Linked DNA regions of Mus musculus: region 1 is reported to be linked to region 2. The links are microRNA targets in miRTarBase. Many come from high-throughput screens and were not tested one by one. Region 2 holds a microRNA gene; the other region holds the end of a gene's coding sequence.
Evidence for each region. The annotated mature microRNA mmu-miR-350-3p reads UUCACAAAGCCCAUACACUUUC and lies in region 2 at 2,941-2,962, shown strand. An mRNA with a match to its seed (bases 2 to 7 or 8) in the 3' UTR can be bound and repressed. Matches are read on the target gene's strand: a 7mer-m8 pairs with bases 2 to 8, a 7mer-A1 pairs with bases 2 to 7 and ends in A, and an 8mer does both.

Region 1: miRTarBase lists Skor1 as a target of mmu-miR-350-3p. Seed matches in the 3' UTR shown: 7mer-m8 at 1,501-1,507.

What each region holds. Positions count from the first base shown.
Region 1 is chr9:63,132,266-63,139,832 of GRCm38, reverse strand. Skor1 (SKI family transcriptional corepressor 1) reads left to right here. Exons shown (of 9, transcript NM_172446.3): 8 at 270-335; 9 at 868-1,669. The coding sequence ends at 962. Gm25064 (a small nuclear RNA gene) reads right to left here and starts at 6,550; the gene lies at 6,444-6,550.
Region 2 is chr1:176,767,011-176,775,303 of GRCm38, reverse strand. It overlaps Mir350 (microRNA 350), which reads left to right and starts at 2,881; the gene lies at 2,881-2,979. Cep170 (centrosomal protein 170) reads left to right here. Exons shown (of 20, transcript NM_001099637.2): 8 at 394-870; 9 at 5,434-5,591; 10 at 5,778-6,071.

The DNA of each region.
Region 1 (7,567 bases), not on the chromosome of region 2:
TGCAATTTCCACGGTTTCTAAATTAAAAATCGAGGCGTAAAATTACCTGGGAAGTAATGCCTAAGTTTGCTTTAATTTTGGTTAGATCCGTCTGCCTTTAAGCGCCATCCCAGGCCATTTCCTCCCCCAGCTTCCCAGCCTGCAGTTTGAAGTGTAGGTGTCCCCTCCTTAGTTTCTGGGGTGGTTTCTGTAGGGGAGAGGTTGTGCCCAGGCTGTGACCTCAGCCATCTGCCTAGAGGGTGGTCTCACAGAACTTCCATGTCTTCCAGATACCTTGTGTAACGAACTGGACCAGGAGAGGAAGGCCCGCTATGCCATCCAGCAGAAATTAAAAGGTGTGAACCCAGAAACAAAGATAAGAGACAGACAGACAGACAGACAGACAGACAGACTGAGAGAGAGTCAAGGCTGGTTGTACTATTGGGTGGGTGGGTGAATGGATGGTGAATGGTGGGTGGGTGTGTAGGTGGGTGTAGTTATGGAGATGTTTGAAAGAAAGGCGGCCTGGGTCCACGTGGATCAGAAGGGAACTGGGGTGAAATTTTATAACTTTGATGTAGGACGAAAAAGCCCATTGAGCTCTGAGCATCCGAAAATTTGCTTTCTGGCCTAACCCTAGACTGGGACAATTAGACCTCTTTGTGCCTCGGTTTCCCCGTCTGTAAAATGGGGCTAATGGACCTAAGAAATAGTTCTGACTGGCCAGAGCCTCACTCTTGCCCCTCTACCTCCCTTCTGCTCCATTGAGAATTCCTGTGCCCAAGGGCTGGATGGGTCCAGCGAGGGGGAGGGGAGACTGGTGGAGCTGGGTGGGGGGCAGGGAGGCAGGCGAGGCGGCCAACGAGGTTGGTGTGACTCTCTCTCCAGAAGCTCACGACGCCCTGCACCACTTCTCCTGCAAGATGCTGACACCCCGGCACTGCACCGGCAACTGCTCCTTCAAGCCTCCGCTGCTGCCCTAGCGCCGGCTTGGCCGCGCCCACGCGCCCTCAAGCCATGCTGCTCCTTTCTGTAAATACCCGCTGCAGTGGCGGCCCAGAGCGAGGAACAAGCCATTAGGACCTGACCGTTGTAAATACAGCCGCCCGCCCGCCGGTCCCCAGCCGGGCTCCGTTGGGTTTCCCATTGTAAATACTGCCTCGCCCCTCCTTTGAACTCCAGGGCATCAGACCTCAAGGGGTAAACTGGACCCACCGGGGAAAGAAAGGGAAGAGGGGAGACCTCTTCTACGACCCCTCCCACTCGGGCCCGAGTAGGGCCTGGGACCCCGAATGTGAATATAACGTAGCATCTTCGCTGGCTATGGCCGTGCACTCCCCGTCCTGTCCACTTCTGAAACTCTTGTTCCTAACGACAACGTGGCTATGTGCAATGGAGACAAACTGGACTGTGAGTCTCTTGGTTCAGTATTAGGTTCACTTTATTTATACTGTAAGTTATTTTACTTCCCCTGGGACCCTTTCCAGTCCTCGTTTTACATTCATTCCTCTTTGGATTTGCTTTGTGATTTTGTTGTTGTTGATGTTGTTGTTGTTGTGTAATGTAACAGCACTTTAAAAGGGCGACAACTGACTCACGAGATGGCGACCATCTTGAGCCTATTTGGGGAGACCTGTATCCGTGACTTTTGTTTTTAATAAAAAGAAAAAAAAATCTGTTACTCCTTGGGGCTGCGGAGTTGAGAGTGCATCCAGTAGGTGGAGGAGGAAGAGGGTGGGAAGGTGGAAGACGCTGCCACTCAAAGATGGGGCTTCCGGATGCAAGTGAGGACCAGTGGTCAAGGTTAGAGCGGTGGTGCTCTCTCAGGAGACCTCATAGCGCTCCAGGACCACTCTACAGATCCACCTAAAACTCACTCAATCTCCTCCCCCGCATCAGGGCTGCATCTCCCCCCCCCCCCCGGCTTTACCCGGGGAGGGGGATTACTGCCTTGTCCCCTGGACAGTGGTCCCTTCCTTCCTGCGATTTGCTTGTACAGCCGGAAAGTTAATTTTTACCCCTTACATTTCCTATGTGTGAAGTCACCTGCAGGGATTTGGGGTGCACTCAGCAAGAGAAGCCTCTCCAAGCTGTTAGGAATCCAGAATTCGATCATAATTGCTCTGCTTGCTGAAGCGGGCATCATAGACCAGGAACACTGGCCTGGTAGAAGTGAGGAGTGAAGGGCTAGAAAGGAGCTTGGCGAAACTGATCTAGAAAAGATGCTGAGAGTTTGCCGTCCCGCCCAGACAGATGCCCTGTGGTGCATCCTCAAGAAGCCTGTCTCTACCCCGAAGGAGGAAGCTCTGTCCTCATTATAATAATCTCCCCCTCCTAGTCCCAGGGCATTTTTGGAGCTGGAGAAACCAAACCCCATGAGGAATGTGAGGTCTGCTGGCTGCAGATGCAAGGGCCAGGACTCTCCCCGGGCTGTGGCCCGGAAATGCAAATCCTCACCTAGAGGCCACCAGCCTCAGTTTCTGCAAGGAAACTGCAGGAAACCCATTCTTTCCTGAGTAGTGTGGAGGACGGAACTGAAAAAGCTCTTTCTCTTACGAATTTTTCAGCCCAGACTGGCTTTCATGTCCTCCTCTGGCTAGCAAAGGTCCTGCGATGTGCCCTTTATTTTTTCCAGGTCCTCACTTCCCAATCTCCATTAAATGTCGTTCGACTGTCTCTGCCCTGAGGCTCAGGGAAACACTCCAAGAAGAAAGCCCATCTGCAGGCCGCTGCCTGGACCATCGCCTCCAAGAACAGGCTCTCAGCCTAGCACCGCAGGCTCTCCCCAAGCACTCTCTAGGGGACCTTGGAAGCGAAGTCGAAGTCGGGTCCTGCAGTTCTCTGGAGTTTCAGGCGGGGAGTTTCACTGGAGGCCTTTTGTGATGCAGGCAAGCTGGGACACAGTCTGGGTGATGGCGAAGAGAAGCAGATGCTGAGCCCCTTGCACGGGTGAAACCCAAGACTACTCAGTCCCTGGGCTGTGGCTGAGACCCTTCAAGCCTCGGATACTGAGAGAACAAGACTGGTGTGGAAGTAAGGGTGGTGGGGTCAACCAGGCAAACTGTAGGGCTCCCTCTTGCTATTCTCTTTCTGGGATCCCCAAGGCCTTGGAATCATTTATGTAGGGGTGAGGTAAAAAGGGCATGGTTACTCTGCTCACTTCTGGGCTGCACCCACCGCGAAAGTGAGACCCACTTAGGAAGTGACTTGTGTTCCCAGGGCACCCCTGCAGGAGAGGACACTTGCAGATTGCATTCGAGTATTCTGTGGTCTCAATGCATCTAAATGCACAACCCTTTTCTGTAAAATGGGCAGGACAGTTGCCACCTAAGCCCGAAGGTCCGTGGCTACACACCAACTAAGGAGTCTGGAGAATATTGAATTCTCGCGTTTTCCCTCCAAACTCCCCCAAAGTGGAAAAAAGTATACAGGGACCTTGGGCTAGCCAGAAGGAGAGCCTCAGATGGTAGGGAGCCTCTCAGGGTTGGAGGTGTTGGTGGATTCGACCTAGAAAGTTCCATCGCGCAAAAAAATAAAACAAACTACAAAACACAGAAACCCTCCTGGGCTCTGCATCACTTAGAAATGGCTTGTTCCCCCCCAAAATGTTAATAACCAAACGATTGGTATGGATGTAATTATCAATAATTATACGAATTATTGCTGATTGCGGGGCTCGTAGCTACTTTAATTAGCTTACCAGATTCTAATTAAGTTAAATGAAACATTAATAGAGAAAATATGCTTTAAAAAAAAACCCAGGATTTTTAATGTCTATTTCTCGCCACAATGTTGCCACCTTGCGACGAACTTTAGGCATTACAGCCATCGCAAGCGGCTCAGACACCTTCGCTCTAGCAGAGAAAAGTGTGCTTGCGGGATTAAGGGGGATTGTGGACACCGGATTTCTCCGGGTGTTTGCTTTGGCAACTCTGTTTCCCTGCGTTCCCTACAAGACTCTGCCTCTGGAATACAGGTCCGGAGCTGGGGAGCTATGTAAACATGCCCGTCCACGTCCTTTCTCTAGAGGAACTCCATCCCTTTTGGGAGCTGCGTGGGACAGATTGTCGCTCTCCACCACTGCGACAAACCTTTCCTAAGAGACTAAGTAGAGAGATGTTTTATGCCCTTGAGACACCAGTAAATTGCTTCTCACCTCTGTCTCCTCTGCCAATGGGTTCCTCACGTCCCTGGCACAGCTAACTTCTGAGTTCTACAGGGCTTCAGGTTCCTGAGTCTAGGAGGACACTTACTTTCTTGTTATCTTTGGCTGTATGAGTCGGCCTCCCAGGGGACCACAAGTACCTCCACAACTAAGGTCATATCTTATTTTTCCTCCAACGGTACACGGTGCCCACGTGGAATATCCACGTGAAAGGATAGTTCATCTAGGTGCTGGAAACGTCTGAGGGAAGGGATCCCCAGGTGCTTCCGGACAACAGCCACTGAGATGCAATTACGCTCATTTACATAAGGTTAATTAAGCTCGAGAGCTCGCTGCTCTCAAAGAAGATCCTTCATCAATAGAATTAGTGTTGGGGCAGGGTGTCGAGTAATTTATCATCAACTTAGGAAAGAAAACCCTTCCTCCTGTCCCAACTGTGTCTCAAGAACACTACCTCCACATTTTGCAAGCCCATGGTTCACACATTCCCAACTACCCTGCCACACCGTACAACCGTAAGCCTTTGCAGATATGCAACTCTCACCTAGAATCCGGATCGCCAGTAGAAGCAAAACTGCCCTTCACGACCCCTCCATGCTTTCCATCATTCTAAACAGCCTCACCTGGTCCTCCCCATCCAGAGGCCCCGGTGGTGTTCGGTGATGTGCTAAGAGTATAAACTCTGTAACCAAGTTCTCTGCCTCTCCTTGTGTGGTAGGGAACCCACAACAAGAGTTGGAACTCTGTTTCTGCTTAAAACATGACTTCATGCAGGGATGAGCTAATGCAGGTAAACCCTGGAAGACAGTCTGGGTGAAGAAGAGCTAGCACATCTGTGTGTGATAGGAAAGGACACACCCCCATAGGGCATTATCCAGTCTGTGGACCTCCCCTCCTCTAGCGCCCACGAAAGGGGACAGAGCAGTGCTCTCTCCAGCCTGGCCTTCTGAGCTTTCTGAAGACACTTGAAAGCAGCCATAAAAACCCACGTTGGAAAGACATCATAAGGTGCCAACGTTGGATGGCTACAGGTGGCCAAAGGGGCAAGAGATTGGCCCAAGTATTTGAGCAAGTTAGAGTAGAGCCAGAAAAGACAATCAGGGCTTTAGATTTTTTTTTTTTTCCTAGCCCTAAGGATTGCATACCCCAACAGAATGCCAGGTCCTGTCCTTAAGATTCAGGGGGTTTCTACTGAGTTCCTATACCACTCCATTCCAACATAAGCGATCCTGCCAGTCCTTCCTGTCGGAGGATGAAGCACCACACTAGTATCCGTAGTGACTTTGATTGACAGCACTCTGGGAGATAATTTAAAACTGTTTATCCAAATGGGACATCTGATTGAAACAGAACTGTTGATACGATTCTAGGCCAGTCTATGCTTTAAAGGAAGGCGGAAAGCCGAGGCGCAAGGAGTCCCACAGATCTTGATTCAGCCACTGTAATCAGGAAGGGGTCATGTCACCTCCACAGACTAAAACAGAAATATATACAGAGTGGTACGCTGCTCTACAGCCAGCGGCGGCATGTGGGGTTCACCTAGTCCACCCTGGTCTTCAGGGCTGATCACAGGTGTCACTGGGGCGAGCCCGGGAACCGCAGGCGTCCCAGGGGCTGCAGAGCCCACGCGCGGGCTCAGGAACCAGGGAAGCACATACCCCATTTTTCTTTGAGGAAGAAATTGGTATGTCAGAAAGCACTGAGTAAATCAGCACAGGAAATTTGAACTTAAGGAGGGTGGTCGTTTCTTCTTCATCTTGATGGTTAAGATTTAAGCATTATTTATGCACTAGTTATTTGGCAATAACTAGTAAATATTGTGCAACCAGGAAATTTTGCTTCCATAGCCAGTGTCTCTTCAAAGGTATCAGACCTAGTTTTAAAGGCTTGCTAGTCTCGCCCAGGTGACTCTACGGCTTTAGCAAAACCATTCCTTAGGGCTAAGGTGAAGAAATAGGTTATTGAGGAGGGGAGAGATGAGCTGGAGCCAGGTGTGGTAGTGCACGCCTGTAATCCCAGCAATGGGGACGTGGAGGCAGGAAGAGCTTAAGTTTGAGGTTATCCTAGACTGTATAGCAAACTCGGGGTCATGGTGGAACCTGTGAGACCTATCTCAAAAATTAAAATAAGTCACAAACTGCAACTGAAGCCCATGGATAAGGCGCATTGCAAAGTGATGGGTCTGCTTATGTCACGCCTCACATTCCTTCCTTGAGTACAATGGTTCGATTTAGTCAAGCAAAAGGTAAAACCGTTGGGGCTGTTTTGGACTTCATGAGGGAAAAAAAAATTAAGTAGGAAAAATATGGAACGCTTCACGAATTTGCGTGTCATCCTTGCGCAGGGGCCATGCTAATCTTCTCTGTATCGTTCCAATTTTAGTATATGTGCTGCCGAAGCGAGCACGAACAGCCCATTTTCTCAGGAAGTATATAAGGACAAAATTTTAAGTTCCTTTTAGATTATGGTGAGAAGTTTCTATATTGTTTTCAAAATCAATGACTCCCCAAAGTAGTACCTTCTAGGTTTTATGTTATATGTTCGAAATTTTTTTATTTAGACTCAGAGTAAGTTCATTTATATTCGAAAACTCTTTTTACATTGTATATGCAAATGAGGGGACGATGGGAAACAGACTTGTTCGGGACTGAGCTGTGCGCAGCCCTGAAGTCACAGTCCGCCACGTGATGCGCGCTGTGCACGCGCCCGACCGCACCGGGATCGCGCCCAGCCGCGCAGGGCCCCGCTGTATCCTAGGGACCAGGCGACGAGCATAGGGCGTAGGTTGCAAGCGGCTCATCTAGCCAGCCCGGCTTCTGAGGCTCTCCACCCACGAATCGGTCGCCGAAGCGGCCTGCTCTAGGTGTATGGGGTGTGAGGGCAATCTTGGCCTTAGTTTCCCCGACTTGTTGGAAACAGCGCCCTACCGTTGCTGGCAGTGGTTGCGGGGGAGTGGGGAGAGGCCACTCTCGCTGCTACTGCGTTTACTAAGGGCCAGGCACTTTAAAGTCCCCGCACCTCGCAGGTTAGGAAACTGAGGCTCTGGCAGGTTAAGCCAAGTGGGCCTGCGCGCCCTGAAAAGAAAGTGAGATTTGGGTGCAAACCTGGTTCAGAGGCCGGTCTCTTCTCCTGCGCAGTAGGACTCCGAAGAAAGAGTCTAACCTTTGCGGGTTAGACTTTACCCCCAAACTCAGACTACTTTGCCTCTTGTCCTTCTTTGCTCTGACAAACCCAGAGCGCCGACTGTCGCCCCCGACTCTTTAAGAGACAGTGAGCAGGGAGCTCCGGTGTCAGCGAGGGACACGCACAAGCACACACTTACACCGCGAAATGACTGTACAGGAGGGGGTCACTGAGCGATCTTTGAATAGTGACTTGATACACAGGCAGCCCTGAGAGGACAGGGACAGAGATTCCCAGGCA
Region 2 (8,293 bases):
ATCTTCACCTGACTACCTCTTCACTATTAGAGCCCTACATTATTCACAAATGTTTCAAATAGCCCATTCGGTGACGTGTTGAGGCTATTCATGCTTTTTCTATCAAACAGTGTGTGTATATGTACAGAGCATCTCCATCCATACTTTAATTCTTTCTCACCTTGAGTTTTCCTGCTTTGCTTTTTTTTGGCATTGCTGCTGTTCACCTTGCATCTCCTGATCATAGTCAAGACCGTTCCTTGTCTGTTACATCTGTCTAACATACGAGTGCAATTCTTTTCATCCAGGCTGTTAATCTGCCTTCTGATTCTCAGAATAGTAATGGTCATTACCAATGACCCTCATGCTTCAGGCTTCCAAATATTTTGAATTCTCTCTCCTTTTCCTCATTAGGGTGCAGCACAGAGGCCAAGCACGTGGAGGGACAGTCTGCGGCTGCAAGTGAAGAAGCACTTTTTCCCTTCTGTAGGGAGCCAAGTTATTTTGAAATTCCTACAAAAGAATTCCAGCAGCCATCACAAATAGCAGAGAGCACTATTCATGAGATTCCAACAAAAGACACACCAAGTTCCCATACAGCAGGTGCAGGGCATGCTTCATTTACCATTGAATTTGATGACAGTACGCCAGGAAAAGTAACTATTAGAGACCATGTGACAAAATTCACTTCTGACCAGCGCCACAAGTCAAAGAAGGCCTCTCCAGGAACTCAAGACTTGCCAGGAATTCAGACAGGAATGATGGCACCAGAAAATAAAGTAGCTGACTGGCTAGCCCAAAACAACCCTCCTCAAATGGTGTGGGAAAGAACAGAGGAGGATTCCAAGAGCATTAAAAGTGATGTTCCTGTGTACTTGAAAAGGTTGAAAGGTAAAGTGATCTTCAGAGATTCCTATTGTATCATAAGTTACCAGACAGACTACTGTTACTTAATTATACACTGGAAAATATCTTTTTCAAAATTTACGTTTAATTTTAAAGCTCAAGAGCAAACAGCACTGTTTATGTCCAGATTTCTCATTCATATTAGCTTTTCTTTGTTTTCTTGCCAAAACCACATTGGTTTGGGGATGGCAGGTTACTTATGTCATTTAATCTCTTTACCTGCAGAAATAAAAATCTATTAATTATACAAAGCAGAATTTTCCTGAAAATAATCCCCATCATTTTCTTGATTTAAAGAAAAGATATGTACAGTTCTTTTTCTCTCTATCATGCTTCCAATATAGCACCATTTCTAGGTTTTGAAAACAAAATTAAGCTACTTACCTGCTTACACCAGAAAGTCAGATTGCGCTGGAGTGAGTGCTTCACACTGTCAGCTGTGTGCAGAAGCTCCTCACACACAGACGCTTTCAGCTGAGATACATTCACTAGGTATCTACAATTCTAACACAAAGTTTGTGCTGTCAACTGCAATTTGATGTTCATTTGCAGAAATTAATCATATTATATAGTAATATTAGCTATTACATATACTTTATTCAACACTTAGTTACAGTCATTGCATGTATATTGATTGTAACAACTAATCAGCTTTCTTCCCACTGGTTTTGTGAATTGAATTTCTTTTGGAATTTGTGTTATTTTGTTTTGTATTTTAATATGCTATCAATAAGGGAATTGCTTTGAACAAATGATTGTGAATTTGACAGTTCTGTGGCTTTTATGGGGAGATGATTAATTCTATTCTAAAAACTGCTTTTTGGGGTCAGGGAACATATATAGCCTACTGTATTCCTTAACCCTGCATCTGGGACTTCAGCATAGGCTATTATCTAATGGCTTCATTGTTAATGACAGGACTGACTCTGGCTTTAATTATAGTGATCAGCAGTTACCTAGCAGAAAGATAATTGAATTCTGATTGTGATATATTTACTCCTCCTACATGTTAGTTATATCATAGTTGAATCATACGCATGCAAAGGTTAAAGATAACATGTAAAATGACTGCTAATGTAAATTTGATGAAAAATAGTGATAAGCTAGTAGTATATCAGAGGTAGTATATGCCTTGAAAATGAGTCTTCTTAAAACCCATACACTTACTGCATAGATGAAGGATGAATTAAAAAGATCCTTTGGCAAGATTCCATCAAAATATCTTTGTTAAGGAGCTGGAGAGGTAGCTTAGCAGTTAGGACCCAGGTTTAATTTTCAGCATCCATATGTTGGCTCCACACCATCCATAAAGAGGGGATCCAGTGTCCTCTTGTGACTTCTTCAGGTATCAGGCACTCACAGGGTAAACTTACATGCTTGAAGGCAAAACACTCATAGGCATAAAATAAAATAATACTTAGAGAAATACTGAAAATCCTTTTATAGCAGTGTAATTGTTAAATGTTTTCTGTATTAACAATTATCCTTAAGCCATCATTTTAGTATATTCTCTGCTCTTCACCAGGACCTATTTGAGCCAAATTAGAAGTAGAATCATTAATACCCATATGAACACTGTCTTTATACTGATCAGAATATATTTTTAAATTTTGCCAAAAATTAGTCTAATCACTATTGACCTTGAATTATTCTTTCATACTTGACATTAGCCTATTTTGAAAGCCATCCAAAAAAAATTTTTCCCAGCAATAACTCACTTTGTATCCCAAATAGAGCCATGCTATTTATTTCTTCATACTTATTTACAAATGACATTAACTTTCTTCAAAATTCAGAGCTGTTATCAATAAATAAGTTTCCCATTAGTTTATAAAACGGATACATTCAGATTTTGAATAACGGAGGTAGATAGTAGTTAGTAACAATTTATTAAAACTTGGACTTTGAGCAACTGTGAAAATCAATTGATATGAGATATAGATAGATAGATAGATAGATAGATAGATAGATAGATAGATAGATAGATAGATAGATAGATGCCTTGCTCCTACAAGAGTAAAGTGCATGCGCTTTGGGACAGTGAGGAAAATAATGTTCACAAAGCCCATACACTTTCACCCTTTAGGAGAGTTGCAGCTTGCTTTATACCAACTTCTCACAAAGTACAGCCAAGCTAACCTGAGGGATAGCAAGTGAATGTCTGTATTTAGGATAGTTAGAGATCAGCAGAGGGGTTAAGAAGTATGCTGAGCATTTCTGCGTGGTCTTTTTACTGAATAGAAACATAAGATTACAACTCTGATCTAATCATGCCTCAACTTTTCCCCTTGGGTAATACACAGAAGCACTAGAAGGACTAATAGCTTTATAAGAAAGAAAATGACTAATCTCCAACAGATTAGTAACAATGAAACTTGTGTTTTCATTAAAAATTCTGAAGTAAATTTACAGTCTTACTTACAGGTCTAACAGTATAGAAACTATTAGTGTTTATTCTTTTGGACCTTAACAAACTGAATTCCTATTCAGTTTATCCAACCCAGTATGTTTTAAACAGTACTATAATAAAATGTGTGTCTAAACTAGTAGTTACATCTCTGTTTGTTTTCCATATACTACTCATGATTCCTAAATTATCAGTGTTGGAGATTCCACTAATTAAGCACATTGTTGGGTTTTTTTTTCTTTTCATAGTACTTTTTGGATAGTAAATAATTTGAAGAATTTTTACATTCATCTCATTTGATTTTTATGTTAATCTGTCACTTTGAATCTGCCTTATCTTTACCATAGTAGTGCCCTCCGTTTCTCCTCCTTTTTCAAGATGTCATTCAGTTCTACCATTCCCTTGTCTGTCCTCATTTCTTTTATGTACTACATTTTACAGGTAGTTCTCTTGTGTTATATTTCACTGTTATTGGGAGCTTCCAGATTTACTAGGAACAAACCCATACACGTTATAAATCCTTTCCCCTAGACATACATCTCATTCTTTCATACACAGCAAGCCTTTTCTTTCTGATTGCTCTCTTGTTGACAGATGTTTACTTTAGAGTAGACAGCGTGGGAATGTTTCAAAGTCAGATTATTTCTACAAGATTGGATTCTGTCAATGTACATTCTAATATACTAGATTCATTTATAACTTTGAAAAGATTTTTGTTAATCCTTGATTGGTGATCCATCTAAATCATGCTGTCTTAGGGTTCTACTGCTATGAACAGACACCATGACCAAGGCAACTCTTAAAAGAACATTTAATTGGAGCTGGCTTACAGGTTCCGAGGTTTAGTGCATTATCATCAAGGCAAGAGTATGGCAGCATCCAGGCAGGCATGGTGCAGGAGGAGCTGAGAGTTCTACATCTTCATCTGAAGGCAGCTAGAAAACGGGCTCCCACATGGTTAGAGTAGGTTCTCAAAGCCCACCAGCACAGTGACAGACTTCCTCCAACATGGCCACACCTCCTCCAACAAGGCCATACCCCCTAATGATGCCACTCCTTTGGTCAAACATATTCAAACCACCACACATGCCTAGAGTAACTCTTGCTCTGATCTAGAAAAACCTTTATTGGGAGGCTAGTATAATATTGGACATGGTATCTACCTATATCTGTACCATGTAGTTTATTAGAAGGAAGGGTATAGTAGAAGTCTTTGTAGTTGGTAGGATGTCAGCATCATTTAACTCTTTGAAGCCACTAGAGTTCTAAGAAAACATTTGTAAACATTGGTTGTTACTAATAGTAGCTACAAATTTCAGTCTTTTTATTGAAAGGTGTGTTGAACTTTTAAAATTATTGAATATCATAATTTAGATATACTCCATTTTAATGACATTCATATTGTGTTAAATAGTGTTTCGGTTACACCAGTCTTTTAAATGATTCCTTTTATTTGTTGCGATTATAATCATTTTACTTTCCCATTTCCTTTCCTCTGTACAAACCCTCCCATAAACCTCTTCTCACTCTTTTTCAAATTATTGCTCACTTTTTTCATTAATTGTTCTTACATACATAATTTCTAAACAATCTACTGTGTCTATATAATCTTGCTTTTCTGATGTTTTCAGGCAGGGCTGACCATTTGATATTGGATAATCAGTTGGTGTGTTCTTCCTTGGGGACGACTGTTTCCCCCACTCTTGGCATCCCTTAGTTGCCTGTAGTTCTTTGTGTAGGGTTGAAACCTTGGAGTCTGGTCTTTTTTTTGTTTGTTTAGTACCAAAGGTTTACGATTGAGAGGCAGAGCGAATGTGTATTAATGTTAGAAGTACAAACTATGACAGGTGATGGAACATCGCTTATTCTTTTAAGGGATTGAGGAATCTTTTATAAAGTTGAGATTTAGAGAAAGAAAAGTAATAACTCAGTTGTTTATAAAGGGCCTCATTGACGGGTGAAATATAATTATAACTGTTGTGCAGGAGGGCAGTATGCAGAACCTGTTACACTAAAGGACATACAACTCTGTCTTAGAAAGGGGAAGGGTAGCAAAACAAATGACACTTTTGTATGTGCTTCTGATTTTCTACATGGAATTTTTTTCTTCTCTATTATATCATGTCTTTTTTTGTGTCCAGGAAACAAACATGATGATGGTACACAGAGTGATTCAGAGAATGCTGGGGCACACAGGCGCTGTAGCAAGCGTGCAACTCTGGAGGAACATTTACGCCGCCATCACTCAGAGCAGAAAAAGAAGGCCCAGTCCACCGAGAAGCATCAAGAACAGGCTGCTGTAAGTCAAACTGCTTTTATGATTGCATTCTTTGATGAAGATCATTCCAGAAAGAGAAGGTCATATTCTTTTACTCAAAGTTCAGGCATCTTATGTCAGGAAACTACTTTCTCAACACCACATAAAAAACTTGAAAAAGCAAAATCTCCACCAGCAGATGCCAAAGTGGTTTCTTTGTCTTTACAGACTAGCTCTACGCATCACAGAGGGGGGCATGGTGTTCCACATGGGAAATTGTTAAAACAGAAATCAGAGGAGCCATCGGTGTCACTACCCTTCCTACAAACTGCATTATTAAGAAGTTCAGGGAGTCTTGGGCACAGACCAAGCCAGGAGATGGATGTAATGTTAAAAAATCAAGCTACTTCTGCCTCTTCAGAAAAGGATAATGATGATGACCAAAGTGACAAGGGTACTTATACCATTGAGTTAGAGAATCCCAACAGTGAGGAGGTGGAAGCAAGAAAAATGATTGACAAGGTAAATAATTGAAATTTGAGTATGATGGTAGTTGTGGGGGGCTGTTGACTCTTGGACCTTATTGGAGAGGTGGTGCGAAATGTTCTCATGCAATAGGTGGAGTTGGGACTTTAGGGTTTTGTTAGGGACCTAGAAGACTAATAGCAAGCAATTCACTTATATTCTGAATTTTCCTAAATTTTAAGTCTTCTACACTTAAACTACCTGGGCCTTTTTAAGGTATATAAATTTCATTGTCATTTCATGTTTATTTCTATGGAAACTGAACAAGGAAATAGATTTCTACATGAATATAAATGTTAACTGATTTTCTACCTACTAATTTCATTTGGGGAGCAGATGAATAGCATTTGCTTTGATTAGCTTTACCCATTTTCTGTTTGTTTCTCTTCACTACTATCTGTGCTGAATCAGAACAAAATCAGTGTTTATATGTTTTGTTCATTTTAGTCAGGTTTATCCAGTCCAGTCCTAATGATTTGTCTATATTTCAGATATTTCTTTGATGTTACTTATTTATTTACAAGGTGATTGTTGTATGATTTATAAAGTACTTCCCAATTTGTTATGATAGTAAATGGTGGACCTTAGAATGAGCTATTTATTTTACCACATGGAAAATAGCAATCTAAGTTTGACTAAACATAAATCTCTTGTTTAAATTCTTGTTACTGAAAATATGCTCATGAGTGAACAACATTGATATCACTTAAGTGGCTAATACATATATATTCAATCAGTTTCTATATTAAAAACAAGATAACCATGTGGTTCGTGTGTACATTAACATTTAGAATATTCTAATTTTAAGAATTGTCCGTCAAAGAACGACCAAGATATAACCCTCTGGGATGTAGGCAAAAATAGTATGACTATGTTCACTTTTGATTCTCATTATATTATTTTTATTTTAGTATTTGTTCTGTAGTATTTGCAATGCATTGACTGATATACATGTATAATTTGTAAGCATAAATGTATTGAGTCTGTACTTATTCTACTGTTAGAGTGGCATTGTGCCTGACTTTTAGAGACGTGTTAGTCTTGAAAATAAGTGTTATATGTAAGCAGTACTTTGACCATTGTTAAAAAAGAAGTATGGACTTTAAAAGGCCATAGACAGTTTACTCCACAGTTGAGTAATATTTTTTATTAAATATTATTTTATGATTATATATATTCATTAAGAACATGGCTGTTTCCAAGCATCTGGAATTAAGTGTCTAAACTATATGTACTACTTATCCTCTTGGGTTAAATCAATCTCTTTAAGCGTAAGTGTCATTTGTTTAAGAAATTAAGACTTTTTAGGCTCAACAGGTATTTAAAAAACACATAGGAAGCTTGTCATGTCATATAGCTGTATGAAGAGGACCTCTTAATTATTAGTTTTTATATTAGTCATTTCTACATATGACTCTCTACCCAAAGTCTGGTGAGTCCTGTAAAGTTTTTTCAGCACTAAAGGGGTTAAATAAAAAAAAAACCCAAGGTGGAAATTATAGTACAAGGGACAAGCCTGGCCTGGTGCAGTGTGCAGAAAGAAGGCATTTCTACAGATAGGCCTACTTAGGAAAGTGATAGGCAATGGGGAGTTCACAGAATCTGATCATTAATTGTTGTCTAAAATTATCATATGCATCATTTTCATTCTCAAGGAGCCCTTTAATACATCATCACTTTCAGAATGGAGAAACCCAAGATTTTAGAGCAAGGACCATTAAAAAGAATGGTATTATGCAACTGGATAGCTAATTTGTCCATTCTTAAGTTGTGTAAACCAGAAAAATCTAAAACCAATACTGCTTCAAAGTCACTCCATTGTCATGTGTCTGCCACAGTAAGAAAGCTGAGAGTTCAGGAGGTATGGTTAAAGCTAGACGCCGAGGTCAGGCCAGCTTAAAACTAGGCTTTGCTAGAACAAACATGGAGAACTGGATTTAGACATCTGAAGAAGATGAAGTGATAAATGGATGATTGCAGAGAAAATAAAGGGCAAAAAAAGCTAGACTGAGGCATAAGCAGAGACTTGAAAGGTCTAGAGTAATAAACAGACATGCTCAGTTATCTGTAGCTCCCTCTTTAAAGTTGGAGTATGTATGATAGAAGTTGGAGCAGCTGTTGTCCAACTAAATTTGTTTTGATCTGCAAAACTCCCATATAGTTTTATTTCCTTTCTTATTCCTTCATTGAAGAAGTAATTTCATTGATAGTGTGCTAGC